Regions from separate parts of the Mus musculus genome. Here all the other regions are reported to be linked to region 3. Evidence: microRNA targets listed by miRTarBase, many of them from high-throughput screens and not tested one by one. Region 3 holds a microRNA gene; each other region holds the end of a gene's coding sequence.

Evidence for each region. Region 3 holds the annotated microRNA mmu-miR-3471 (UGAGAUCCAACUGUAAGGCAUU, at 2,057-2,078, opposite strand). A microRNA usually pairs through its seed, bases 2 to 8, with sites in the 3' UTR of a target mRNA and lowers its output. Matches are read on the target gene's strand: a 7mer-m8 pairs with bases 2 to 8, a 7mer-A1 pairs with bases 2 to 7 and ends in A, and an 8mer does both.
Region 1: the mRNA of Slc12a8 is a reported target of mmu-miR-3471. Seed matches in the 3' UTR shown: 7mer-m8 at 1,753-1,759.
Region 2: the mRNA of Tmem151a is a reported target of mmu-miR-3471. Seed matches in the 3' UTR shown: 7mer-A1 at 2,912-2,918.
Region 4: miRTarBase lists Cd8b1 as a target of mmu-miR-3471. Seed matches in the 3' UTR shown: 7mer-m8 at 5,974-5,980.

Annotation. Positions count from the first base shown.
Region 1 is chr16:33,661,807-33,668,925 of GRCm38, forward strand. It overlaps Slc12a8 (solute carrier family 12 (potassium/chloride transporters), member 8), which reads left to right. Exons shown (of 13, transcript NM_134251.3): 13 at 1,119-2,332. The coding sequence ends at 1,281. Among named protein-coding and RNA genes, the nearest start is that of Heg1, 19 kb to the right of the region's middle.
Region 2 is chr19:5,075,284-5,082,402 of GRCm38, reverse strand. Tmem151a (transmembrane protein 151A) reads left to right here. Exons shown (of 2, transcript NM_001001885.2): 2 at 1-3,070. The coding sequence ends at 633. Among named protein-coding and RNA genes, the nearest start is that of Tmem151a, 6.6 kb to the left of the region's middle.
Region 3 is chr4:10,843,529-10,850,647 of GRCm38, forward strand. Mir3471-1 (microRNA 3471-1) reads right to left here and starts at 2,102; the gene lies at 1,972-2,102. It also overlaps the pseudogene Gm12918.
Region 4 is chr6:71,336,260-71,343,378 of GRCm38, reverse strand. Cd8b1 (CD8 antigen, beta chain 1) reads right to left here. Exons shown (of 6, transcript NM_009858.3): 6 at 5,887-6,669. The coding sequence ends at 6,657. Among named protein-coding and RNA genes, the nearest start is that of Cd8b1, 17 kb to the right of the region's middle. RefSeq lists enhancers at 249-745, 946-5,331, 5,326-5,610, 5,326-7,119.

The DNA.
Region 1 (7,119 bases), not on the chromosome of region 3:
TTAGCGCTGCCTGTTGGAATCTTGATTGCTCTTGCTGACTTGATTGTATGTGAATAATCATATGTACAATGAGCTCATAAACCACGAGCAGTGGCCATTCCGTCTCCAGAGGACAGCATTTCGTAGTCTTCCCTGTTCTCTGCTTCTCCTTTCTGCCCCTCTTCCTTAAGTTCCCTCAGCCTTGGTGACAGGGGTGGATGTGGATGTCTCGTGTGGGGCTGAACGCTCAATAGACACTTATTCTCAGCGCTCTGACTGGTTTTGTCTCTGTATTAACTGCTGCGCACTCCAGACAGAAGCTTCTCTGGCTAAGGTTGAGGGCAGCGCTAATCTATGTGTATAAGCAATAATCATTTAGAAGGCAGCTTGACAATACGTTCTTTAGCAAAACAACAGTAATGAGTTCCTCGCTGGGCCCATAACCTCCTGAGCCATTACTTTTGATCAGGATTATGGTACCAAGTCTTAATTCTTTTCTGTGGAGTAGGCCTGAAATCCAATCAAAAAACAGTTGTTAACCCCATAACCTTTCCTGCTACTATTGCAGCCACAGGCATATTTTGCCTAGAAGGGTGGTTTTGTAGTATGCAGGGTTGGTGTAGGGACACCTCAACTTTCTTTCTAATGAAGCCAAGCAGTTTCTCTTTCCATTCCTCTCCAGTCTGTAGTTTAGTCCTGCCATTGTCTCATTTGATAAGAACAAAGAAAAGTTACAGAACTCTCACAAAACTGTCTTTAGGGTGGGCATCCCTTATTAGAAGGTATAGTTTTACAGTGTTTCACTTAACAATGGTCAATATTACCGTCTTCACTTGATACTGTATCTCCTACTTTGAGTTCATAGGCTGTTGTAGTTCCCAACAATTATCTTTTAAGTATTTAAAGACATAAATGTTAGTGCAGCTGGTGTTTGCACAGTATCTCCATGGGGTGGACAGTATCTCCATGGGGTGGACAGTATCTCCATGGGGTGGACAGTATCTCCATGGGGTGGACAGTATCTCCATGGGGTGGACAGTATCTCCATGGGGTGGACAGTATCTCCATGGGGTGGACTGGCTCCCATAATTCATCTCCACCTGTTCTTCCCCTCTCCCCATCCTATGTCTCCCCCAAAGGAGCCTGAGGTCCGCCCAGGAGCAAATCATCTTGGCGCCATCACCAGCCAAGGTTGACATGGCAATGACTCAGCTTACCCAGGACAATGCAGACTTCGCCACCCGAGATCGTTACCACCACTCCTCCTTCCTGAGCCGGGAGCAGTTGATGCCTCCCTACTAGGACCTCGCTGGACCCCACCTTTCTAGAAGCCGCTGTGGAGATGGGGGACCCAAGCCTCAGAACCTTTGGAAGTTGCTTCTACCAATAAGAAAACCCAAGACTGGTCTTCCCACCACAGCCTTGGACGCTGGAAATCACATTCCGGTCTGAAATGGCATGTCTAGCCAGATACTAGGTATGACTATGGCTTCCACGTGTGCCCAACCTGAAGAGTCCACAGGCACCAGGATGATCAGGTGACACCAAGACAACCAAATGTGGAGAATCAAAACGAGATTTCTTATTCTAAGGGGCCAAAATAAACACTTCTTTTTAATTTTATTGTTTTATTTTTTATTATTTTTAAAGAATTATATATATATACATATACTGTAGCTATTTTCAGACAGAAAATAGCATCACCAGAAGAGGGCATCGGATCCCATTACAGATGGTTGTGAGCCACCATGTGGTTGCTGGGAATTGAACTCAGGATCTCTGGAAGAACAGTCAGTGCTCCTAACTGCTGAGCCATCTCTCCAGCACCCTCCCCTGTTTTATTTATTTTGTAATGTATACTAACTACACTCACATGGTTCCCAAGCCACAGAGTATAGAAACCCCCTTCTCCCTGTTTCTCATCTGTTTGGTGTCCGTCCCCCATCACAGGGGCAACCACTTCTCATGCAAACATCAGCCACCTCTTTACAGACCCCTCCCATCTGCAAATGCAGCTCTGTTTACAATGCACTACATCCCGCTCTTCTCCCTTAATCTGCCATAGAAGCATTTCCATGAAGATGCTTACACAGTTTCCTCCTTATGTCTCTATGTCTGAATGTGCCTTAATTTATATACTCAGCCTCACGAGGACGGCATTTAGCTTCATTCTGATATTTTGCTATTACAGCCGCTTCTGCAAAGAGTCACTGTGTTTGTGTGCACAGTCGTGAAGGATACCTGAAGATAAATTCTCAGAAGGAGAATTACAGGGTGACTGGGGATGTACATTTGTAAGCTGTTACTGTTTGGAGAAATGCTTTTTAATTAAAAAGTCAATCAAATACCATGACCAGGCTTGATAGTCACCTGAAATCCCAGGACTTGAGAGATGGAGACAGGAGGACCAAAAGTTTGAAGCCAGTCTGGGCTACACAGTAAGACTCCACCTGTATCATGGGGAAGGGGGAGAAATTGCTATGAATTGCCTAACAGTGTTTCAAAAATATGCGCAGTCTGACTCCCTGACACCTTTGCAGCTGTTTTGCACCATGGATTGCCCGAGACGACAGGACTGTTGGTTCTTCTGTGATCTAGACTTGGCACTTATTGCAAGCATCCAGCAGTGGGGGCCAGGCCTCCTAATAAGCTCAGCCCCTAACCCAGGCTCCAGTTCCACTGCTGAGCGTGGAGGGATGGACTGCTGGCTCACCTTAGACTCTTCCATACGTTCTCCTGAGATGCTGTGCTCTCTCCTGCCGCACATGTTCAAAGTGACCCATCCAAGTTTTAGAAGAGTCATGGGATCTACATCTTTAACAATGCCATACACAAGTCAGTGCTGGGTATGCTGTGGACACATTTTATAAAACATCCATGTGTTGGATAGACAGTTTAGAGGAGGGGAGGGCTGGGAAGGGCATAAGGGGTCAGCTAGGTCTTGTAACCTTCTCTTCTGGAAAACAAGCTCTCACTCGTGATGGCAGGAAACAACCTAGCTCTGCTTAAGGAATAAGCGTCTGAGCACTTTTAGATACATACCTTTAAAGGATGCAGACTTTGGGTCTAAAGCAACACCACAAAAGGAGTCACCATTTCTGACCACTTGAGTTCTAGCCCCAGAAGCCACATGGTAGAAGGAGAGAATCAACTCCTACAAGTTGTCCTCTGACCTCCACAGTTGTGCTGTGACTTTTCAACACATAAACACACACACACACACACACACACACACACACACACACACACACAAACCTTTTAGAAGAAAATATCATAAAAACACAGTCTGAGGGGCTGGAGAAGTAGCTTAGTGGTTAAGAACACTCACTACTCTTGCGGAGGACCCAGGTTCAGTTTCCAACGCTCACATCAGACGGTTCACAACCCCCTGGAACTCTAGTTCCAGAGGATCCAATACCCTTTATCCTCCATGGACATTTGCATGCATATAGTGCACATAGCCTCATTCAGGCGCGCACACGTATACACACACACACACACACACACACACACACACGCACATAAAATTTTGTAAATATTTTTTAAAGGACACAGTTTGGAGAGATAGCTCAGTGGTCAGGAACACTTCTTTCTCTTCCAGAATACCCAGGTTCAATTCTCAGTACCTATGTGGTATCCTACAACTGACTGTAACTCCATTTCTACAGGATCAGAGATTCTCTACTGGCCTCTATAGGCACCAGAGAATGTAATATATAGCCATACATATAGGCAAAACATCAACACACATAAAATAAAATAAAATAAAATAAAATAAAATAAAATAAAATAAAGCAGAAGAAGACAGACTGAGCTGGTCATGGCTTACTAACAGGTTGAAGTAGGAAGATGGTGAAATAAAGCCAACTATTCATGAAGGGCTCAGGGTGACGATCCCTGAGGACCTCTTTTGGTTTGCTTTTGTTGACAGAGTTTCTTTTCTTTTCTTTCCTTAAGGATTTATTTATTTATTTATTTATGTAATGTATATGAGTACACTGTAGCTATACTGATGGTTGTGAGCCATCATGTGGTTGCTGGGAATTTTGATTCAGGACCTCTTCTCACTCCAGCCCTGCTCACTCCAGCCCTGCTCACTCCAGCCAGAGATTTATTTATTATTATATGTAAGTACACTGTAGCTGCCTTCAGACACACCAGAAGAGGGCATCAGATCTCATTATGGATAGTTGTGAGCCACCATGTGGTTGCTGGGATTTGAACTCAGGACCTTCGGAAGAGCAGTCAGTGCTCTTAACTGCTGAGCCATCTCTCCAGCCCTGTTGGCAGGGTTTCAGTGTGGTTCAGGCTAGCCTGGAACTCACTATATAGACCAAGCTAGCCTTAAACTAGCCCTCTGTCCTCAACCTCCAGATCAGAAGCCCCTTTTAAAGAGGAACCTGCATTCAAAAATTTTCCTATGGCTTCTGTAATTAATCACACAGATCAGATGTCTTTAAAACAGCAGAAATATATTTTTTTCATAGCTCTGGAGTACAGAAGTCTCGAATCCGTCTTACTGAGTCAAAAACGAAGGTCAAGCATCAAAGCTGAATCCAAGAATCCACAATCTTTGGGGGAGTTTGTTTTGTGCCTCCTCTAGCTTTGGTTGCTGCCAGCCACCTGGATTTGTGACCACATCTCTGCAGTTCAAAGCCAACACTGCAGGCTACAGCTGCCTTCTGGGAACATGTGAAGTCCATCTTCTACTCTGTTTTCTGAGGCATGCGATAATACAGAAGCCCAAGATAATCCAGAGCAGTGGTTCTCGCCTTTTTGCACAACGCAGAGAAGACTTTGACTGCATCTGCTTTTGCTGTTTTGAATGCTGCACACCAGGCTAAAAGAGCAACCTCTTTGAAGGAGGTAGTGAGCCGGGCTAGCCACAGAGCTTAAGTAGGATGATACCAAGGCCAAAAATAATGCACAGAAGATTCAAGAAGAGCATTGTCCAGTATGATTCATCTTACAGAGAAGAATAAGAGAGGACTGGCTCATGACAAAAATCAGAAACTGTACTCAGTGTCAGGGATTCCAAACAAAATGAGCAGCTCAGTGTTGGGGGGGGGGGGGCAGATGCTAAACAGGTTGATGTTCACAAGCTACCACTTCAGTAAGGGGAGGCAGGAAAGAGAGCGAGCAAGAGGACCAAGGCAAGGAGGAAGGATTTGAAGCTACACAGGAGCACGTGCCTCCTCGTGAAGAGACTGCAGAACACCTCTCTCAAGACCCTCTTCCAGAGGGGGGAGGAGTCAAGAGTTATCTCCTGGTTCCTGGTTCCCCAAACTAAAGGGGGAGCCTAGGAGGACATTAGCCACCTCCACCTCACTTGTAATGTGCATGCATGGGAGTGCCTAGTAGTTCTGCATGGAGTCAGCCTAACTGGAGTCCACCTGGAAGGGGTCATCACAGCTGAGATGCAACGAGTAGCCTGACTATGCACAGGTGGTACACATGGAACCTGAGGTGGCACATTAGCCAGTGTTATATAAAACCCGCATACTGCAGGTCACTACGATGAGTAAGCATGCTTGGCTCATTCAGACAAGGGTTAGGCATGTATTAGTCAGGATTCCCTGGAGGAACAGTACTGATGAAATACATAAGTCTTAACCACAGACTAGATGCCTTTAAAACAACAGAAATATATTTTTTTTCTTGGTTCTGGAGAACAGAAGTATAGAAATGATATTTCATTAGTACCTTACAGGCTGTGGTCCGGCTAGTCCAGCATTAACTATCTCCTGATAAAAGGGCCAAGAATCACATAGTTGTTTCATCCACGAGCCTGGACATCTAAGCTGCTTTTTTGTCTTCATTGGAGTCTCAAAGAAATAGGTTCTAATACCAGTGAAGGAATGCCTCAGCAACAGGATGGATGAACAGCAAGATAGATGAAAGTGAGGGCAAGCAGGCCTCACTGAACAGAGGTCATTTTCTCAGGTATCTCTGAAAATCGTGCTCATCTGCCCTCTAATTTACATAGCCAGATGCATCATACATAAATAATTTAAGTTGGTATTGAGTCTAAGGTTCAGGATTCAAGGAGTCTCTTCAGATTTCTGACTCAGTGTTTAAAGATGGGGCACAACCAGGCAGTGGTAGTGCACACCTTTAATTGAAGCGCTCAGAGTCAGAGGCAGAAGTATTCTTGAGTTCAAGGGAAGCCTGGTCTACACAGATAGTCCTGGGTCAGCCAGGGCTATCCAGAGGAACTCACAACCCCCCACCAAATAAAGATAGGATAAAGGGTGCCAGTTTACATATTCAATATTATTATTTATTTGCATATAAGTGTCTGCATGTATTCAAGGAGGACAGAGATATCAAAGTATCAACCATGAGCTGCATGATATAGGTGCTGGGACTTGAACTCAGGTCCTTACAAGAGTGGTATGGCTCTCGTATCCGCTGAGCCATCTCTCCAGCCTCAGTTTATATATTAGTTCTCTGAAAGGGCACAAAACTTCTGTCAACAACAGTGGTGGATAAATGCCACTGGTATCAGCAGTTTGAGTCAAGGCTCCAGTGTCTAACATTTTTTTCCCTCTCTAGTCTAAGAAGCTATAACCCCAAAGTTCCTTCAATAAGGAACTAGAACCAAGGCCCAGCCTGCCTTGTCAGCAGTATCATATGAAAAAGAGAGGCGGCAACTTCACATTTCTTACCTTTCAAATGGGGGTTCTGCCCACTCATGAACACGGCCCAACTTCTGACTAATCAGATAGGCTCCTGTCTTAAAACATTAAACCCATGAATGATCCAGGTTCAGGGGAAACCTAGCTTTAGATGAGGGTATAGCTCTTTCCTCTTGCCATGTCACAGTGCAGGAAGTAGAGGGTGGCCTGGTGGCGAGTTATCTATTGCTAAGACAAGATATCTAAGAGGAAGCCAAAAAGCTAGCCTAGACCTCTAAAGAGGCAAGGGCCAGTTATTTGAGGTCCTCAGGGTCCTATTGTCTGCTGTGTATCAACTGAAGCAATAGCTTGTACAAGTGAGTTGGGAAGATTATTTGTTCATTCATTCATTCATTCATTCATTCATTTTTGAGACAGGATCTCATGTAGCCCAGACTGGCCTCACACTCATTATCTCATTATGTAGCTGAAGATGACCTTGAACTTCCAAACCTCCTACCTC
Region 2 (7,119 bases), not on the chromosome of region 3:
ATGCATCTGAAGGATGTGGACTTCCGTGAGTCCCTCATGGTCTTTGCAGACCCCCGCAGCCCACCCTGGTATGCCCGAGCCTGGGTCTTCTGGCTGGTGTCTGCAGCCACGCTGTCCTGGCCACTGCGAGTGGTGGCAGCCTATGGGACAGCCCATGTGCACTACCAAGTGGAGAAGCTTTTCGGTGCCAGCTCACCGCCCCCAGGGGCTGTGCCCAGCGGACCACCACTCTCTCGCGTGGCCACCGTGGACTTCACAGAGCTTGAGTGGCACATCTGCTCCAACCGGCAGCTGGTGCCCAGCTACTCGGAGGCTGTGGTTATGGGTGCCAGCTCTGGGGCCTACCTGCGAGGCTGCCAACGCTGCCGCCGCTCGGTCAGCAGCAACTCCCTGCCTCCTGCCCGCCCCAGCGGGCCTCGCCTACCCTTCAGTCGCAGCCGCCTCTCGCTAGGTGCTGGGGGCCGAACCACCCCAGGGGTCTTCCGAAGCTTAAGTGGAGGTCCCTTGGGACGCAGAGGGGAGGACACGGAGCCTCTGGAAAGCCCTCCGTGCTATGAGGACGCCCTTTACTTCCCGGTGCTCATTGTCCACGGAGACAGCGGCTGCCGGGGAGATGGGCAGGGTGCACTCTGAGGTACCCGCTCCTACAGTCCCAGAACACCCCTCTCTTCTCACCATCTCACCACGGGCTTGGATGTCTGATTAACTGTCGGAAACAGGAAAGAAAACAGACCAGCCACGCACAAGGGGTGGGAGTGGAGTGGGATCCTTAGACTGAAATGCGGTGACACATGGTCCTCTGAGGAGGAAGTAAATGCCATCTAAGTTGAGTCTGTGATCTGTCCCCAGCATGGCTCCCCCAACCATCGCCATGTTCCCCTGTGATAGCAGATGATGCTGGGCAGGGAGAGAAGCTTCCAGAAAGACTGGGATGGGGAAGAGACCTGAGCACGGCCGCCTGCCTCTCTGCCACGCTGAGCTACATGTGGGGCCCTCCAGCAACATAGAAGCACAAACTGGTGGCCTGGGACCATGGCCAGCTGGGATTGCTGTCCTGAAGCTGAACAGCTGGCTGTGGCTACCCCATAGCTTGGTCCCCTGCCCACCAGAGTTTCCATCTTCCTCTGCTCCATTCTTTTTGTCTGCCCTCTGGCCTCTGCTCCGGGCAAGTGCCCTGATTATCCCTAGACCCTAAGGTGTGGTTAGTCCCTCCACAGCGCCCAGCTCTCAGAGCACAGACTTGCTCTCTGCCCCCACCTTGGTCTCCCTGGTTCCTGCTGCACCCTCATTACATCCAGCTTTCCTTGTGACCCAGGTTTTCCAACTCTGAGCCCCAGCATCCTAAAATTCATATCTGCCTCTGTCAGCCACGCAGCACCTTGTCTCCACCATCCCTCCGGGCTTCTCTGCTCTTCACCTTCTGCGTGATCCACAGGATGCAGGACTACAGGGCATCCGAGGGGCTCTGCCTTGGCCACAGCCTCTTGGACGATGCCCTGGTTGCCTTGAAGGCCCCTGCTTCTCCCATTCATGGAGCCTGTCCAGGGGACACCATCCCTCCCTAGGGAGAACAGACTAGTCCCTTCCCTTCCAACTGGGGATTCCACCCCCTCTCAGGGGCTGGCGGGGGAGGGAAGAGACAGAGAAAATTAAATAAAGTTATGAAACGGGAGAGGTTTCACACGTGTGTTCCTGGGTGATGGGTCCAAGGCCACTGAGTACAGAGTCAGGTGTAATGGTGGGCTCAGGGAGGAGACCCAGAGGTAGCGTCTAGTATTCAGACACACAGGGTGGGAGCCTTTCTGCCTCCCCCAGGGCCTCTGAGACCCAGCTTTGAGATGGCCTGAGTAGCTGACTACACTCAACCCCAGTATCAGAACTTGATTACATAGTATGCATTGTCCCAGGTGACTCCTCTTCCAACCTGGTGGCAATTGCAAACCTGCTGGGCATGCAGAGGACTAAGGGGTGATGTCTGCTTCCCACTGTGGGGAGAAAGGTATGGCTTGTAACCCAAATACAGTTCCATTTGTGGCCACTGAGCAGTCTGGGGCAAGTTGAGGGAAAGAAAGCTGAAACATGGGCAAGCCAAAATGGAATCTAAAGAAAGAGAATACAGGAAGGGCCTCACTCTTCTGAGTGAGGTGTCAATGTTGTATGCAGAGTTTGCTCACGATGTCTACTATACACGAGTGCTAGGCTGCGGGGAAGCAGGAGTATAATTAGTTCCCGAGCTTTGAGTAGCATGGGGAAACAGAAGCCAAGACCCATGGCTCTAGGACAAACACCAGAGTCTGTGTTGGAGCTGGAGCCATGGTGAATAGTTGAAAAAGAAGAAAGCTGAGGCTTTACATGAAGACAACGTCCAGCTGCCTGCAGGGAAGTCTAGCTCAGTGGGTAGAGTGCTTGTCTAGCGTGCAAGTGGCCCAGGGTTCCAGCTCCAATAACATGAGTAGCAAGTGTGGTGATGTGAGTCTATCATCCCAGTGTTCAGAAGATAGAGGCAGGAGGTTGGAATTTCAAGGTCATCCTTAGCTAGGTCTGGAGTTCAAGATTAGCCTGGGAGACCTGAGACTCCATATAATAAACAACTGAAGTAGAAAACCTACAGTACCCAAAATACCAAGAAATCTTCCTGGGGGAGGTCTCTGCCCTTCCTTCTCCTCTGATACTATAGCTACCAAGTGCTCACAGAACCTTCTTTCTTCCTCAATGTATAAATCCAACTGTATCCTAGATGGCAGTGACCCCAGCCAAAGGCAACATTCTACACTCCCTTGCATGGATAGTGTGACATAATTCTAAGACATAGTCAGAAGGAGTGAGAAGGGATTTTTTTAAAGTATTATTTATTTTATGTATATTTTGAGTACACTGAAGCTGTATGCAGATACACCAGAAGAGGGCATCAGATCTCATTAAAAATGGTTGTGAGCCACCATGTGATTGCTGGAAATTGAACTCAGGACAACTGGAAGAGCAGTTAGTGCTCTTAACCACTGAGCCATATCTCCAACCTGAGAAGGGATTTCTAATGATGTCTTTTAAGATAAAAACAATGTTGGAGAAAGCCATTGTTTTTTGTTTTCTTTTGCTTCATCCGGTATTCATGTTGGAATGTACATGTGATAGCTGGAACTCTAGCAGTTATCTTGGATCTGGAGGTAACTTTGAAAATTGCAACCATGTGCAGAGAATAGTAATATCAAGATAAAAGATCCTGGGTCTCTACTGCCTCAGTGGGGTTGCCAAAGCACTCCTGGTTGCCTACTTCCAGACTTCAATGCAAAGGAGTAAAATACAGTTTATTTAAGTCACTATTTTCTCCTTCGTTTCCATTAACAACAACCTTTATTAATTATCAGGTGGTGATGGCGCACACCTTTAATCCCGGTACTCAGAAGGCAGAGGCAGGCATATCTCTGTGAGTTTGAGACTAAGCTGGCCTACAGAACAAGTTCCAGGGCAGCCAGGGTTATGCAAAGAATCCCTGTCTTGTGTTTTCTTTTTTTTTTTTTTAAATGTGTTCTTTTTTAAGATTTATTTATTATTATATGTAAATACACTGTAGCTGTCTTCAGACACACCAGAGGAGAGCGTCAGATCTTATTATGAATGGTTTTGAGTCACCATGTGGTTGCTGGGATTTGAACTCAGGACCTTCAGAAGAGCAGTCAGTGTTCTTAACTGCTGAGCCCTCTCTCCAGCCCAGAATCCCTGTCTTGAAGAAACAAAACCAAACTAAAACCAAAACAAGAAGAAACTATGATCCTTGCCATCTCTTCTTGCAGTTGTGGGTCAAGAATTCAGTCAAAGCACAATGAAGACACCCTATTCCCTGCCTCCCACATAGAGGGCCTCCTCTGGAGGTCTCAGGAGTCAAGCTGGGTTGTTCTGAGGGTCTGTCATAGGCGTCACGGGACTGACTAGAGATGTTGGCTAGAGCAGCCACTGGTGGACTCCTGGCGCCTGGGTCTCCTTATGCCCACCAGCTGGCTGCAGGGACAAGGAGAACAGCAAGGGAACCGCACTGTCACACAGAGGCACAGCAGAAGGTTGTCATACAGACATCAGGCTTAAGTGGGGAGAACACAGACCCCACTTCTCCACCAGGTGTGGGGGAGCACAGCCCTGGGATCCCAGAACTAGGACGTGAAAGCAGAAGAATCAGGAGTTCAAGGTCATGTTAGACTGCACAGTGAGTTCCAGTCCAGACTCTGGTACCTGAGACTCTCTCTCTCTCTTTTTAAGGTATTTAACCTCAGGCCCACCCTAAGAAGTCACATTCATTTGGTTTTACTCATCCACTTTCTTTTTTTTTAAGATTTATTTATTTGGGGCTGGTGAGATGGCTCAGTGGGTAAGAGCACCCGACTGCTCTTCCGAAGGTATGGAGTTCAAATCCCAGCAACCACATGGTGGCTCACAACCATCTGTAACAAGATCTGATGCCCTCTTCTGGAGTGTCTGAAGACAGCTACAGTGTACTTACATATAATAAATAAATCTTTAAAAAAAGAAAAAAAACGCCGGGCGGTGGTGGCGCACGCCTTTAATCCCAGCACTCGGGAGGCAGAGGCAGGCGAATTTCTGAGTTCGAGGCCAGCCTGGTCTACAGAGTGAGTTCCAGGACAGCCAGGACTACACAGAGAAACCCTGTCTCAAAAAACCAAAAAAAAAAAAAAAAAAAAAAAAAAAAAGATTTATTTATTTATTATATGTAAGTACACTGCAGCTGTCCTCAGATACTCCAGAAGAGAGCATCAGATTTCGTTACGGATGGTTGTGAGCCACCACAACAGGGATTTGAACTCAGGACCTTCAGAAGAGCAGTCGGCGCTCTTAACCACTGAGCCATCTCGCCAGACCCTTTTTCAAAACACACACACACACACAAAAAAAAACCACAACAGGAGATGGGAGAAACAATCATGGTCTTCCTTACAAATGAGATGATGGCTGAGCCCGGCCGCTACGTACTGACCTCCACAGCTTGATCTGCCTTTTATGATCTTGGCTGGAGAACAGGGTGGTGGCAGTATGTCAGATGTAGGTCTTCTCAGGACAGGGTGACCTGCTACACATTTATTGGGGGCTTTCATACTCATAAATGTAGGTGGCAGGGATGATGGCAGGGATGATGTTTTTGGATTTTTAAAAAAAGATTTATTTATTTACTATTATATGTAAGTACACGTCTCCAGACACTCCAGAAGAGGGAGTCAGATCTCACTACGGATGGTTGTGAGCCACCATGTGGTTGCTGGAATTTGAACTCAGGACCTTCGGAAGAGCAGTCAGTGCTCTTACCTGCTGAGCCATCTCTCCAGCCCCTGGACTTTTTTTTTTTTAAGACAGGGTTTTGTGTGTGTGTGTCCCCTGGCTGTCCTAGAACTAGTTCTGTAAACCAGGCTGATCTTGAGATCCACCTGCTTCTGCTGGGATTAAAGGCCCGTACCACCACCTCCCAGGGTAAGTACAGTCCTAATGTACTTACCCTCATCACTCAGGCTGTGGTATTCGGTGATAACAACAGAAAAGTTAGTTCTGTCTATTTCCCCAGAATGGTAGGAGTGTCAGGGCTCTCTGTGGATGCCCTGGCAGTTGTCTGGGATTCTCTCAGCAGCACCATATGATGAACAGATGGACCTTCATTCTCAGCCGGGACCTGTGACTGGAGATGCAGATGCAGATGCCAGTCTTGGGCAATCCAGGGATAACAGCCAAACACTTGATCCTCAACACTGACAAACAAGTTGTCTCAGTCAATGCACACAACTCAAGGACTTCCCATCAGGCCTCATCACCTTAGTGCTGCCACATTGTAAATCAAAACTCAGCATGAGAGAGGGACAAGCCACTGACTGTGGTACCACCTCAGAATGGCTTTCCATACATCCCCACCTGAATAAATGACACCAAGCAGGGGAATGAGGCAGAACTCAGGTCAGGAGAGGTAGCCCAGTGGTTAAGAGCACTGACTGCTCTTCCAGAGGTCCTGGGTTCAATTCCCAGCAACCACACGGTGGCTCACAACCATCTGTAATGGGATCTGTTGCCCTCTTGTGGTGTCTCAGAAGAAAGCCACAGTGTACTCACATACATAAAATAAATAAATCTTAAAAAAACAAAAACAAAAAAGCAGGGCGGTGGTGGTGCACGCCTTTAATCCCAGCACTCAGGAGGCAGAGGCAGGTGGATTTCTGAGTTCCAGGCCAGCCTGGTCTACAGAGTGAGTTCCAGGACAGCCAGGGCTACACAGAGAAACCCTGTCTCGAAAAACAAACAAAAAAACAAAAACAAAAAATAAAAAACAAAAAAACTTTTGCCTGGTGGAGGTGGCACATGCCTTTAGTCCCAGCACTCGGGAGGCAGAGGCAAGTGGATCTGTGTGATTTCGAAAAACAAAACAAAAACAGAACAAAGCAACAATAAGAACAAAATCTCAGTGGGGCATGGTGGCGCACGCCTTTCATCCAGCACTCGGGAGGCAGAGGCAGGTGGATTTCTGAGTTTGAGGCCAGCCTGGTCTACAAAGTGAGTTCCAGGACAGCCAGGGCTACACAGAGAAACCCTGTCTCGAAAAACAAACAAAACAAAGAACAAGATCTTTTAAAAATAAAAACACAAGCCTCAGACATCTTACAGCTTCTCCATCTCCTTGCCTTTCGGTCCATCTCTGGGTCCTCTCAAATCTGCGTGCCCACTCTTCTCTGTTCTTCTCCTTCACGGCCCAGTTCCCCCACTACCTAAATTCAGGCCAGATCTTTCTCTGTCTGCTGTGCTGGCTGATTTTATATCAACCTAACATTAAGCTAGAGTCATTTTGGAAGAGGAAATCACACCTGAGAAAATGCCTCCATCAGATGTCTGGAGTGCATTTTCTTGCTTAATGACTGACGTGGGAGGGCCCAGCCCATTCTGAGTGGTACCACCCTTGGTTGATGGTCCTGGGTGCTATAACAAAGCAAGCAGAGAAAACCATGAGAAGTGAACCTGTAAGCAGTGCTTCTCCATGGCCTCTGCTCCAGTTCCCACCTCCAGGTTCCTGCCCTGCTTGAGTTCCTGCCTGACTTCCCTTATTGATATAGAACAGTGTGATCAGGGAGTTGTAAGCTC
Region 3 (7,119 bases):
CTCCCTTTGTTGAGGAGAATCTCAATCTAGATCAGGTTGGCCTGTAGGCAACCTTGATTTTGTGAATTGAAGTAGGAAAACCTGCCCACTGTGAGCAGTGCCATTCCCTGACCAGAACCCTGCACTGCATACACAGAGAAGGGAACTGAGTAGAGGCAGGCATTTGTTCCTCTCCTAACTGCTTCAAACTCCTGCCACTGTGACTTCACCACTACACAGATGCCAAATAAATAGTTTTCCCTAAAATTCTTGAGTATTTCATCACAACAACAGGAAATGAAACAAGGACACATGGGCCTTTATTATTATTATTATTATTATTAGATATTTTCTTTATTTACATTTCAAATGCTATCCCGAAAGTTCCCTATACCCTCCCCCCACCCTGCTCCCCTACCCACCCACTCCCCCTTTTTGGCCCTGGGGTTCCCCTGTACTGGGGCATATAAAGTTTGCAATACCAAGGGGCCTCTCTTCCCAATGATGGCCAACTAGGACATCTTCTCCCACATATGCAGCTAGAGACATGAGCTCTGGGGGTTCTGGTTAGTTCATATTGTTGTTCCACCTATCGGGTTGCAGACCCCTTCAGCTCCTTGGGTACTTTCTCTAGCTCCTCCATTGGGAGCCCTGTGTTCCATCCTATAGATGACTGTGAGCATCCATTTCTGTATTTTCTGGGCCTTTTTTTTTTAATCTTTACTGATATTTGGTGTGTTCTTTCAGCAGCCTTGTTCTCTATTGCTGATATTCTTTTCTGCTTGGCCGAGTCTACTCATGATGCAGCCCGCTGTCTTTTACCTTATTCACTGAGTTTTCATTCCCAATATTTCTGCTTGTTTTCTTTTTAACAGATCTCAATTTCTTTCCATCTTCCTGACTTTTTCACATACTTTTGAAGATTTCCTCCTCTACAGTATGAATTGGATTATATCCTCTTTCAGACCGTTGATCTCTCTTAACAGAGAGGGAAAAAAACATCTTGAAATCTTTCTGTGGCATTTTACACACTTCATTGTCCTTTGGAAGAGTCTCATGCTTTGCGTTAGAGGGTTGTCATTTATTTTTTTGTTTTTGTTTTGCTTTGTTTCATGCATTTCTGTGTTTCAACTTCCACACCTGTTGGTTTGGCTCTCTCCTCTGGATTTGGAGAAAGATCTACTTTTGAAGCCTCAATCCACAGTACTGCACCACATGGCAGAAACAACCCATTTTAGCAACAACAACAGCATCCATGATTTAAAAATACACTTGAAATCCATTACAGTCCTGCAAGAGCAGTGCCCTCACCTGACTAAAATCCCACAAAAATGACCAAAACTATTGTAGAATGTGCTATGCAGGTAGCAATTAGTGAGGGCAAAGGTAGAAATGGCAGACAAGTAAGGAAGGGGGGGGGGGGGAGTCAAGCAGGAGAAACAAAGCTAAGGAGACAAAGGAGAAAGAAATGCATGGAGAGAAGAGAGCAATGGAAAAGAAATAAGCAGAAAAGGAGAGACTGCACAAAGTGAAAAGAAAAGCAAAGGGATGGGAGACATACTTGCAAAATATGTGACACGAAGTGACCTCCAAAATATACCAGCAACTCTTAAAATTTCAGGGATGCTATTGAAACTAACAGAAGTTATGGACCAAATGGATTTAACAGATATGTATTGAACATTTCATCTTAAAACAAAAGGATATACCTTCTTCTCAGCACCTCATGGTACCTTCTCCAAAACTGACCATGAAATCGGTCACAAAAAGGCCTCAACAAGAAGACTGAAATAATCCCATGTGTCCTACCTGATCACCATGGACTAAGGCTGGTCTTCAACAGGAACAAAAACAACAGAAAGTCCACATATACATGTAAGCTGAACTACTCAATGATAACTTGGTCAAGGAAGAAAGAAAGAAATTAAAGATTTTAGAATTTAATTTAAGGTACAACATACCAAAACTTATGGGACACAATGAAAGCAGTGGTAAAAGGAAAACTCATAGCTCTAAATACCTCCAAAAAGAAACTGGACAGAGCATACACTAGCAGCATAACAGCACTAATTGAGGAAATGCCTTACAGTTGGATCTCATGGAGGCTCAACTGAAGCTCCTTTCTCTGTGATAACTCCAGCTGTGTCAAGTTGACACAAAATTAGCCAGGACAATATTCCAAACAGATTTTTAAAACGCGGTTGAGTGCATATTACTCTTAGTTACAGAAGATACCATGTATATTTAAGGGGCATTTAACTATTATTAATTATTTTTGATGACTTAAAGAAGGTGTCAATACTGAGTTGTATGTTTTAAAATAAATTCTATTAGTTTAATAAAAAAAGAAAAAATATCAGGGGCGCTTTTCTGGCCACTGGCCACTCTTAAATTTTCAAGTTCTGTTGGTAAGGCATTTGCTGTGCAAACACAGGAGTTAAGCCTGGCGTCGCAGACCTCATGTCAAAAGTCAGGCACAGCAGCTGGCTCCTGTAACCCAGTTCTGAGAAGGCAGAGATGGGAGGATTCCTGGAGCTTCCTGGCTAGCTACTGTAGCCAGTCCAATGAGCTCCCAGCTCAGTGGAAGATTCCGTCCCAAATATAAGGTGGAGAGCAGCTGAGAAAGGCATCAACATTAAGCTCTGGCCTTCACACACACTCACACGACCAGGCACCCACAAAAACGTGTATACACAAAAACAAAGTACCGTAAGGGCCTGCCTAGATTGGCCTGAGGGGCTTGTGTAGACATTTCTCAGAGAACATACTTATAACGCCGGGAATAAGTTTATATTGCGGAAAGAATTCACCGCGCATCATTCTCCTCTTGGTGATCCTTGGCGTAGCCGTTACAAGCTGACCACATCCTCAGGGTTCCAGGTCCTGGCAAACAACTCCTGAAAGCAGGTTCCTGACAGCTATGGTAGAAAGATCAGCCTCACAAATCTACAATAACAAAGGGCAATTCCCCATCACAGAAGCCCTGCCAGGCGCTGTACACGGATGCAGCGCTCCTGGCACCTGCAAGCATGGTATCTTCAGGACAAACGGGCCAAGAGGGATCCGCCTCTCCTGTTCCAGAGAGATGCAGAAGGAGGTAAGCAGAACTATAAAAGGTAACCCCTAACAGTGACCAGGGGAGAAAATATCCCAAACACAAAGACCCACTAGCCACCTGGAAGCTGAAATTAGTATCAGTGAGAGCTGGAATGGCGAGCGTGTCTTGTGGCACAATCAAATATGGGTAAAGGTCAGAGAAGGAACCTGAGCAGACATAAGTGGGATAGTCCAGGAAGCAAGAAAGTACACTTTTAAAAATCACCGCTTTGGTTTTAAAATGGCTGAAATCTGAGCATACTTTGTAGAGGAAAAGGACTGGGAAAGTCACAGACAAATTCTCTGCCTACTAAAAGATTCTTTGAACTCCAACAAGGATGGCACTGGCACTTTCTCCTTCCCCAGGTGGTGCTGGCCTGAATGTGGCTTTCTGAGGAAAGGGCAGTGCTGTGAAGACAGACTGGCTGCTTCCCACTGCACTAGAAAAACTTCCCAAAACTCCACAGGACTCTTTAAATGATAGACCACACTGAACTTGCCAAAGAGAAAGGTCCCACCCAGATGGGAGCTGGAGAGTAGGTCTCCATTTTACTTACACTGTGTCAAACACTGATGGATGCCGTACAACGATGAGGAATTGGAAGGGGGCGGGGATCCTGACACACCCCATGTACGCAACATATGGAACAAGTTACTGAAGAGAGTGGTCCTAGCAGGGTTTGTTAAAGCTGAGTCGGGGTATAACTCAGGGAAGATTGTGGGTGTGGTGGAAAAAATAGCAAAGTGGGATTAAGATAAAACAAAGCAGAAGAGAAATATTGGGCCTGGTAAACTTTCACCTTCCCTAAAGTGATTGATGTACTTATAAAGAGCCAGACTGGGCTTCATTTCTAGGGGTGACGCTGCTCGTGATCCCACATAAATCTATCATTCCTGCAGGAGTCCTGGGCAAAGTTGTTGTCATGGATAGAGACAATGCTGACATTCACACTGGTGAGATTCGGTATTTAGGTGGGGCAAACCACTGCTAACACTTACAGGCGAGCACGTGACTCTCATAGAAGGAAAGGGAGGGAACAGAAAGGATAGAAGAGGGAAAGAGGGGGAGACACAAGGGGAAAATGGCTCACTTTCTGCAATGCTCTAGTCTTGTATATTTGGTTTAGAGAATAACCACTCTGCTTGATTATGGCTTATTAGTATCAGAAGTCAAAGGACAGTTAACTATGACTGAAAGCCCCGTGAGAACTAAGCAAGATCAAACCTGTGCATTTTAGCCATTCGGATTTGAAAGGGTTGAACAGCACAAAGATGGAAACAGCCTGCCAAGCCCATGCTGGCATATCTACTGGTCCTGGGAAAGGCAGGAACTTCCAGGAGATAAAACATAAAAACATATATGACAAGACTTTCCCTGGGGGATTGCAGATCATGTCTATTCACCCCAGAGAGGGGGCCTATGACAGACCAAAGTCCAATTTGGAGACTGCAATCTTTATTGGGATTAATCACAATACAAGGGAGGGGTTACTTACAAAAGCAGTAATGACTCAAAGGCAGCAAAGCCCATGCCAGCACAAGTGACAGCTCACAAAGCTGGGAACCTGAAACACACTGCACAGCCTGCAAGCCACTCAACAGCAGCTCAACAGGCTGGGGAGTGTCCTCTCCAAGTGACCAGTCAGTTAGGCAGGCCTCTGCTTCTTCCAGACAGCTTGTGCGGTCTCCAAATCTTCTTTGCAGGATGGCTTAGAATTCTGCTACCTCAGCCTCCCAAGTGCTGAAAGTACAGGCATGTGCCACAACTTTTGGTTAAAATACATTTCAGGGCCGTTCTCCTGTATAGGAGGCAGCCATGGCGCCCAGCCGGAATGGCATGATACTGAAGCCCCACTTCCACAAGGATTGGCAGCAGCGAGTGGACACTTGGTTCAACCAGCCGGCGCGCAAGATCCGCAGGCGCAAGGCCCGGCAGGCGAAAGCGCGTCGCATCGCCCCTCGCCCCGCGTCCGGCCCCATCAGGCCCATCGTGAGGTGCCCTACAGTGAGATACCACACCAAGGTCCGGGCTGGCAGGGGCTTCAGCCTGGAGGAGCTCAGGGTGGCTGGCATCCACAAGAAAGTGGCTCGCACCATCGGCATCTCTGTGGACCCGAGGAGGCGAAACAAGTCCACGGAGTCACTGCAGGCCAACGTGCAGCGCCTGAAGGAGTACCGCTCCAAGCTCATCCTGTTCCCCAGGAAGCCTTCTGCTCCGAAGAAGGGAGACAGTTCTGCTGAAGAACTTAAGCTGGCCACCCAGCTGACAGGACCTGTGATGCCCATCCGGAATGTGTACAAAAAGGAAAAGGCCAGAGTTATCACAGAAGAAGAGAAGAACTTTAAGGCTTTTGCCAGTCTCCGAATGGCCCGTGCCAATGCCCGACTCTTTGGCATCCGAGCAAAAAGGGCGAAGGAAGCTGCAGAGCAAGATGTTGAAAAGAAAAAATAATTCTGTGTTGGAGAGTTGCAATAAATTTTCCATAAAGCAAAAAAAAAAAAAAAAATACATTTCAGGCATGATTTAAAGAGAAAAAATTGGACCAAGAGATGGCTCCTTCAGTAGAAGTGCTCGCCACAGAAGCCTGACAACCTAAGCTCAACTCCAGCATCCCAGTGAAAGAAAAGAATCAACTCCTGAAAGTTGTCCTCTGACCTACATGAACACACACACATGCAAGCATGCATATGCATGCACTAATAATAATAATTTAATTTTGTCAATAGTTATTAGCAAAGTACCAAAATAAATAAATAATATGCGAGAGATCTTGGAACTTAGACACTGACTGATGGCTTTCATTAAGGGCCTTTTGTCCCTACACTGTAGAAGAAAGAGAATACGAAAGAATAAAACGAGGAGACCTGAAGATGATGCTGTTTCCTTTCTTGTCTTGGACTGGAACTACCTCTAAAGTGGGCAACAGACCTGTAATTAGAACTCTCCACCCTGCCACCACCCAATAGTGACATCTTAGGTAGTTGCCATCCTTTGTAAATTAGCACCATGATGTACTCCGAGTGAACACTATTGGATGTCCCCAGTATCTGTTCCCCTTGCTTCTTCCCTAAGTCCCAACTTTTTTCATTCATTGGCACACACCCCAGATGACCTAGTGAAAACTACTCCATTCTCTGCTCCATGAGTAGATCCTGTCTGCTTAGGCCAACAGCCATATTCCCACTCTTCCATGCCGGTGACAGGCCCAGGAAGCACCAAGCTGCTGTGGGTTATGCTCCATGGCAGGGATAAAATACTTAACGAGGAGAGGCCTTTTCTTCCACACGAGTGAGAGATTTTTCTTATTGTAAGCTAGTTATAAATAATGAGGTGGGCTGCCCAAGTTGCTTCTGACATGAGGGAGTGTGAGCTTGGATAGAGTTGATACCATTGATGCCGGAGTGGAAAGAATTACCCACAGGCCCCGCAACCTGCTCATTAACAGTCCTGAGACTCCCACACGTCTGGAATTAAAGCTGAGACGATTGTAACTTACTCTTTTGTTTAAGACTGTGGATCAGGCTTTCTAGTGCTTGCACCTGGCTAAATAACCACGCAGTAAGGGTGAGGTTAGGATTAAACTATATATTCTATTGGAAAACATGCTATAAACTATAGACAAACCAAATGCATAGTTTAACTAATTACATAGAAGGGATTTTTAGTAACCATCCTCAAGTGTTGTAAGTCTCACCTCCTCTGTGTTGAGATAACCTTGTCCTCTCTCCTGACTTCTGAGCAGAGATATGTATTCATATAACACTTGGTGCATTATCTACACATAATAAATACAAAATAATTTATTAACTAACAAGTTGCCACCAAATGTTCTTACAGCTTTGGAATCTTCATGTGAAACTGATCACACACAATAATTGTTTAACTATTACGTTATCCATTTCTATAATCCTGAGTGTCTGTCTTATGGTTGAAGTCTCATTAAACTGCCGCTGCCCTGTTTAAGTTGAAGTGCTTAATATGTGGTCCCTAAAGGCACTCTTGGGGAAGAACCAGCACCCGGCTTCTCCATACATCATCATCTT
Region 4 (7,119 bases), not on the chromosome of region 3:
CTGGGCTATCCCCTCCCATGATGACTCCTTTGTGTTTTGGGTAAGCTATCAGGCTTCCTGGCCCAGGAGAACATGGCTCTTGCCTGAGTCCAGCAAGCCTTTGTTCTTGTCTCTGTTGGCCTCTATATCACAAAGTAGATCACAGGATATGGGATGGAAAACCCATACAAGGTCTTCTAGTCAGTCCTCCTTGCCTACGGAAACCATTCTACTTCCGCACGTCTGAGTTTAAGCAGCAGTGTGGCTTCGGGGTGGGTGCTAGATGAAGAAGGGGTCAGCTTGGACTCCCCTTCTCTTGCTCAAGCTTGAAGACAGTTAGAGCTTTGTGATGGTCGAGTTTCCCATTGTGTACCCTGAGGGTGGCAGAAGCCTGTGGTAAGAGAGGGTGGAGCACAGGGGTCATGGCCTGCCTTGAGCCTGGCCTTGTGTAGCCCGTAGCTTGTGGCTTACAGGATGCTGGAGGTGCTGGGGAGGGGAGTGTTGGGGAAGGTGGGCCTCCACCCCTAACCCACACCAGCTCAATTCTTCCCCTCTTATCTTTATCCCCACCCAACCCCAGAGACCTTCATGAAATCTCCTGTGAGAGACTGTTAAGACTTCTCAAAGCCAATTTTTGCCTCTGCCTCAGGTCATACCATCCCAGAATTTTTCTGTCCATTTGTCCAGGGCTGAGACTAAGGAGTAGCCAGTGGGCCATTGGGGCAGGTTGTTCTCAGAGTCATGCAAGTGCTGGCCTTGAGTTGTCCATGAATGTCAGCTCAGGGCTGGGATACACGTGCTCACTGACAGCTACATGGTTGGGCGTGTGTTCTTTCTGTGACCGCTAAGCTTGTGTCACCTATTCTGGGTAGACTGAGCATTCCCAAGTACCTGATGGCCTTGGTGAGCTCACAGGGCACATGGGTGGGGAGCCGCAGGAGGGACAAGCTCTGGCTCACTCGCTTGGGATCCTGAAGACTTCAATATGGCATTTTACTTGGTTTCTTTCTTAGTCTCCTACATTAAGACTTAGGGACACCATCCATATGAACATGTTAACAGGGAAAAAAGCCAGTGGGTTCCTGCAGGCTGTAGCTTGGACTGATGAAAGGACACGGAGAAGTCTTTTTGCTAAGTGCCTGTGAGGAAGGTCATGTGCCCTAGGGCCCTGAAGGCTCTGCCTTGCCCATGTTGTACCACTGATCCATGCATTGGGAAACCTGGGCAGGAAGGTGACCCAAAGAAGTATATTTTAACTAGTATATTTAACTAGTATATTTTAACTAGTACCAAGATCCCCTAGGAGGAGGGCTCGGTCCCCCCACAAGGAACAGGCTGTCTCAAACCAAAACTGTCAGGCATGGTGCCATGCTCCTTTAGACAGCACTTGGAAGGTGGAGGATAGAGGGTAGAGGGTGGAGGACAGTAGATGGAGGATGGAGGATGGTGGATGGAGGATGGAGGATAGAGGATGGAGGATGGATGGAGGATGAAGGATGGAGGATGGTGGATGGAACCATCAGCAGTTCAATGACATTCAAGACAACATAGCAAGTTATCCAGGACTACAGGAGACCCAGTCTCAAAAGGACAACAAGCAAAACAACAACAAAAAACAAAAGCAAACACAGCAGCAACCTCCCTAAAACAACAACAAAACAACAGCCACCTCCCCAAACCAGAGGTGTCAGCATACGGCCATGCAGCCCCGATCTCGAGACCACGGGTCCCGATCTGAGTGCATAAACTGGTATGGGTGATTTCAGAAAGCAGTGACTCAAGTCCTGAAGAGTGTCATAGAGGAGCTGAGGAGGTTTCCCAAGAAAAAACAGAGGAAATCTCTTTGTCCTTTACCACCCAGAGAACCCAGGGCTGTGAACCCGGGGCTCTTTCTCTCTTTCTCTTTGACTAGGTGGTAGATTCGGAGCTGCTTCGCAGCCCACAAAAGCTGGGGAATCTCTTTCTGAAAACAAGCCGCCCACTTCCTATCGGCGCAGAGGGGCTGCTGTGGTTGGGGTTGAGTAAGGAGGAGAGAGAGGGCTGGTATCGGAGCCCCCTCTCCTCCTGCGGGTGGACCTGGGGGCAGCACACCTGCAGCTGCTCTTCTCTGAAGGAGGCCAAGGACAAAAGTGCTGTTTCTAGAACCTTCTACTTGGCATTGTCAATCTAGACCACCGCAGGGCAGAGAGGCAGACACTACCAATATTCCAGAACCCAGCTAACGGGGATTATGTCGTACATCCGTAACCATTTAGGATACAAGCAAAGGGCCTCCTGCGTTGTGGCCTCAGACATACTACAATATTTTTCATGCTACATTTGTGGAAGAATTACTTGTATTTTAGATATTGTAAAAGAAACTTTTTACGCACAGATCCACACAACCAGCTGCTCAAATACTAATTTTACTCATTTCTGCAATGTTCTTTGCTTGGGACTTTATTTTCATTTATTTTGAGATGAGGTCTCAAATTTATTGTGTAGCCAAAGATGACCTTAAACTTCTGATCCTCCTGCTTCTTCTATCTCTTGACTGCTGTGATCACAGGCAAGCACCACCACCCTGGGTTCGTGAGTTTTGTGCATGTCACTTAAGTAAGGGATTTACCATCTGAACCTCCCCACTTACACCCCCCCATTATGGTTTTCAAAGCAGAAATGGAAAGTCTCCAACATTGCTGCCAGGAACAACTGAAAGTAAATTCTTTTTTAAAGTTATTTTTATGTATATGGTCTTTTGTCTACATGAATGTCTGTGAACCACTTGCACACCTGGTGTTTGTGGAAGCCAGAAGAGGGCATTGGATCGCCTGGAACGCTATGGATTGATATGCTGGGAATTGAACCTGGGTCCTCCGGAAGAGCAGCCAGTGTTCTGAACCACTGAGCTATGTTCTTGAAGTAAATTCTTTCTTTTTCAACACAACATTCATATTGAGTCTTGCATCTTACACTGTCCTTCCCTTTCCTGACCCCACGCTTGTTACATCCCCCAGCAGACAGATGGACAGACAGGCAGGCAGGCAGGCAGACCCAAACAAAATAAAACAAAAGTCCAGTTTTTGTTGACTATATATTTACTCAGTGGGGCAGGGTCAGACCCTCAGTGGCTGCCCCCTAGTTGGAGCTGAATGCGTGTCCTCTGGAATCCCTGCTAGAAGACATCCACTGTGGAGGGGACACTCCAGCATCCTCATCTATCGCAGTTTTTAAGAGTTCTCTCTCGGAGTGAACACTTATAGGCCCCTTTATATGCATATATATCATATGCTTGCAGGCCTTGGTAGATTGCTAGGAAAAAATCCGATTTGTAGAACAATGGGCTGATATTTTCTTTTTCTTAAGTATTTTCTTACACACACACACACACGTGCACACACACACACACACACACACACACACACACTTTGAGACAAAGTCTCACATGTGGCCCTAATACATTTCTTAATAGCGGCATAAACTTACTTATAAAGCTGTACCACAATTTATCTACCTAGTTTCTCATCAATGCTACCTTTTTTTTTTTTTTTAACCATGCTGGATGTTGAACCCAGGGTTTTGAAGTTATTTTCTTGTTAAGCCTTTGAGTGTTTCCAATTTTACGCCACCAAGCCGAACCACAAGAATAATTCAATGTGTTTTTGTGTTTGGCAAGTAGCCTATTTAAAGTGAAGGCCAGGCCAGACATGATGTATATACTAAAGACCTTTATGCAGTAGTGACTGTATGCAGTAGTGACTGCTCAGTTCCCTCTTCTGTAAAGTAGTCAGGTGCCAAGTCTAGACCTCCTCACCACAGCCCCCGTCCCTTGGCAGCCAACTTTGATCCAGCTGTGCCATCTGAGCAGCTGCTGGCTTCATAGCACACAGCCAGTCCACTCCTGCCAGTCCAGCCCCCACGGAACTATAAGCAAGAAAATATAATTGCTGAGACAGAAGCAGGGAGATGCTCAAATTTCACAATCTGAGGTGGGACGAGCAACCCTGAGGTGAGGTGTGTTCTTCCTTCCTTCCGCTGTGGACAGGGTATGAGCCTTCAGGGGACAGAGGGTGCATTGCAGCCCAGGTTTCAGCCTTACCATTTACAGAGTGACTAGAGCAAGAGGCCATCTTGATCCTTTGCTATTTTCCCATCAGTCTTGAGATGTGGCCTGTCATTTGCAGAAAGCATTTGCTTCACTGGAGGACCTGCTGCAGCTACGCTGTCTGACTCCTATCCACCTCACCCAGTTCTGCCTCTGTTGCAGCTCAGATGCGGGAACAGGCTGTGATGCCCTTCCTCTGGAGGTATATTTCCTTCTGTGACTGTCAGAGACCTCAGAACACATCCCAGTTTTCCCTCACGCTTCTCTGATCTGACCTTGAAGAGCAGGCAGATGACCATGGCACATTGCTTCTGTGAATGCACAGGCCAGGTGTAATGGTTTTTGCCTTGCTGGTCATAGGCTGCTAGAGCCCAGTGAAGACAAATGGAGGGACATTTTAAAATGTAGGATTCTTCCTCTCCACTCTGACTCCAGCTCAGCAGTTGCAAATTTACGGACAACAACTGTGGTTTTACACTTTTGCTTTGGTACAAGGCTTTCTTCATTCAGGAGTCCTGAGGCTTAACCTTCGGGAACAAGGGCTGGAACAGGAATAGGGAGGGACATGTGGGGATGGGGTGATAGGTTCTTATGTCTCGAATCTGCAAAACCTGCGACCTACCAAAAGTTCCTCTCTGTGATTGTCAGCAGCATATGGTGTGTGCCTGGTCTTTCCCCCTTATCTTATTACAAAAGACAAAAACAAAAGACATTACCCCAATGAGGATGAAAGTTCTTTAAAACAGAGGAGAGGGGGAGGGGGAGGGGGAGGGGAGGGGGGAGGGGGAGGGGGAGAGGAAGAAGGAGAAGAAGAAGAAGAAGAAGAAGGAGGAGGAGGAGGAGGAGGAGGAGGAGGAGGAGGAGGAGGAGAAGAAGAAGAAGAAGAAGAAGAAGAAGAAGAAGAAGAAGAAGAAGAAGAAGAAGAAGAAGAAGAGGAAGAAGAGAAGAAGAAGAAGAAGAAGAAGAAGAAGAAGAAGAAGAAGAAGAAGAAGAAGAAGAAGAAGAAGAAGAAGAAGAAGAAGAAGAAGAAGAAGAAAAGAGGAGTTGGCCAGTGTCAGCTGGTAAGATGCCTCATCAGGTAAAGACACAAGTCTCATGACCTGAGTCTATGCCTGGAATCAAAGAGAAAGGAAAGAACCAACTTCTAGAAGTTGTTCTCTCTCTTTCACACACACACACACCACACATATTAATCTGCATGTGCATACAGATATTTTTTAAATTACCAAGTGTGGGGCTCACACCTTTAATCCCAGTGCCTGGGATCCAGAGGCAGGCAGATTTCTTTAAGTTTGAGGTTAGTCTTATTTATGTATTGAGTTTTAGGCAAGCCATAACTATCCCCTCCCCCCTAAAAGACAGACTTCAAGGTTCTCCAACGGCTAGAACAAACACCTGTTCTTTTCTATTGAAAGGGCTTCTAGTATCACTGTAGGTGAAAGCATTTGGAACTCTGTGTGTGTGTGTGTGTGTGTGTGTGTGTGCGCGCGCGCGCGCGCATGCTCATGTGCATCACAGCAGCATGGCCTGGCTTTGGGAGTCCTAGGTATTTCCTAATCTCTTCATCCACAATTCAAGTTATGGGCACAATGAATGTGGCCAAATGAGAGTTTTAGATGTAAGATGAAAACACACAAAATGAACTCACCCCTCCTTTCTCCCCACCCCCACCCCATGTGGTGACTGAACGCAGGACCTTGTGCATTTATTTAGGCTGGAGTCCTATATTCCCAGCCCTTGCCACTCCTAGCTTGTCTGAGGTCTTTAACATAGGACTTTATTTTGTTTTTTGTTTTTTGTTTTTGTTTTTTGTTTTTTTTTGTTTGTTTGTTTGTTTTGAGACAGGGTTTCTCTGTGTAGCCTTGGCTGTCCTGGAACTCACTCTGTAGACCAGGCTGGCCTCGAACTCAGAGATCCGCCTGCCTCTGCCTCCCGAGTGCTGGGATTAAAGGCATGCACCACCACGCCCGGCAGGACTTTATTTTTATAGCCAAAACATTTTCATTAAAAGGGCAGAGAGTGAGAGAAGAAATATATAAGCCACGAGAGAGAAGAAGTGAAGCTTAGAAACTTCCTACTAGGAGATGAAGTAGAAGTCTGTCTCCTGAGCCAACAGCCTCCCAAACCCACGGCAAGGCCTGAGAGAGTAAGATGGCTGCTGAGAGCCCTGAAACTGTTTGCAGAAAACTTTATTCATGAGGTGGCTTCTCTGTGTGAGGATTTGCAGTCTTCTCCAGGGTCCCGGCTAGCTCTTTTCCATGAAAGGCCAAAGAGTCAATAAGGCTGTCATACCAAGCAACTGACAAAGACAGTGGCTGGAAGGCCACTGTCCAAGGCCCAGTCCAAGAAGAGTACATGGTGGTGTGGGAGTTCTTGGTTCTTCAGCCACTCTGTGAGTGAGCTTGGGTTCTGGGGCCTTCCCTGTGAGACCCCAGACCACACACAGAGCTTGCAGCAGTTCAAAGCAGGCAGCTTGAGCAAGGGCAAGGGCCTCTCCAGTCTTGAATGCGCTGTCTCTCACTAGTTCAAATCTTGCTTTGATTGAGTTACAGTCCTTTTATTGCTAGCAGGCTATCAGTGTTGTGGGCGCTGATCATTTGTGAAACCTGGGAAACAACAGCAAATTGTAAGACTCTTATTTTCAGGCCAGTGACACTTTTGCTATATTTCTTATAGCAAAAGCAATGACAGATGGAGGAAGAGGAGGGCATGCCTGGGGCTGAGAGCTCTGTTAGGATGGTTTTTGTAAGGCCCACTTCTAGCATTTTAAACCTTAAAGTTTAAAAAAACCAAACCAAACCAACAACAAAGAAAACCAAACTACAACAAAATAACATATAGAGACACACAGATGTATACACACACACACACACACACACACACACACACACACACACACACTAGGGCTCAAAACTACTATCTTTGGGACCAGTAGGATGTCTCAGTGAGTAGAGGTGCTTTTACTTCCAAGTATGATCTGAGCTCAATACCCAGTACTAGTTATTCTGCCCTACCACAATGCATGTGTATACACAAAATAAAGAAATGTTTAAAAA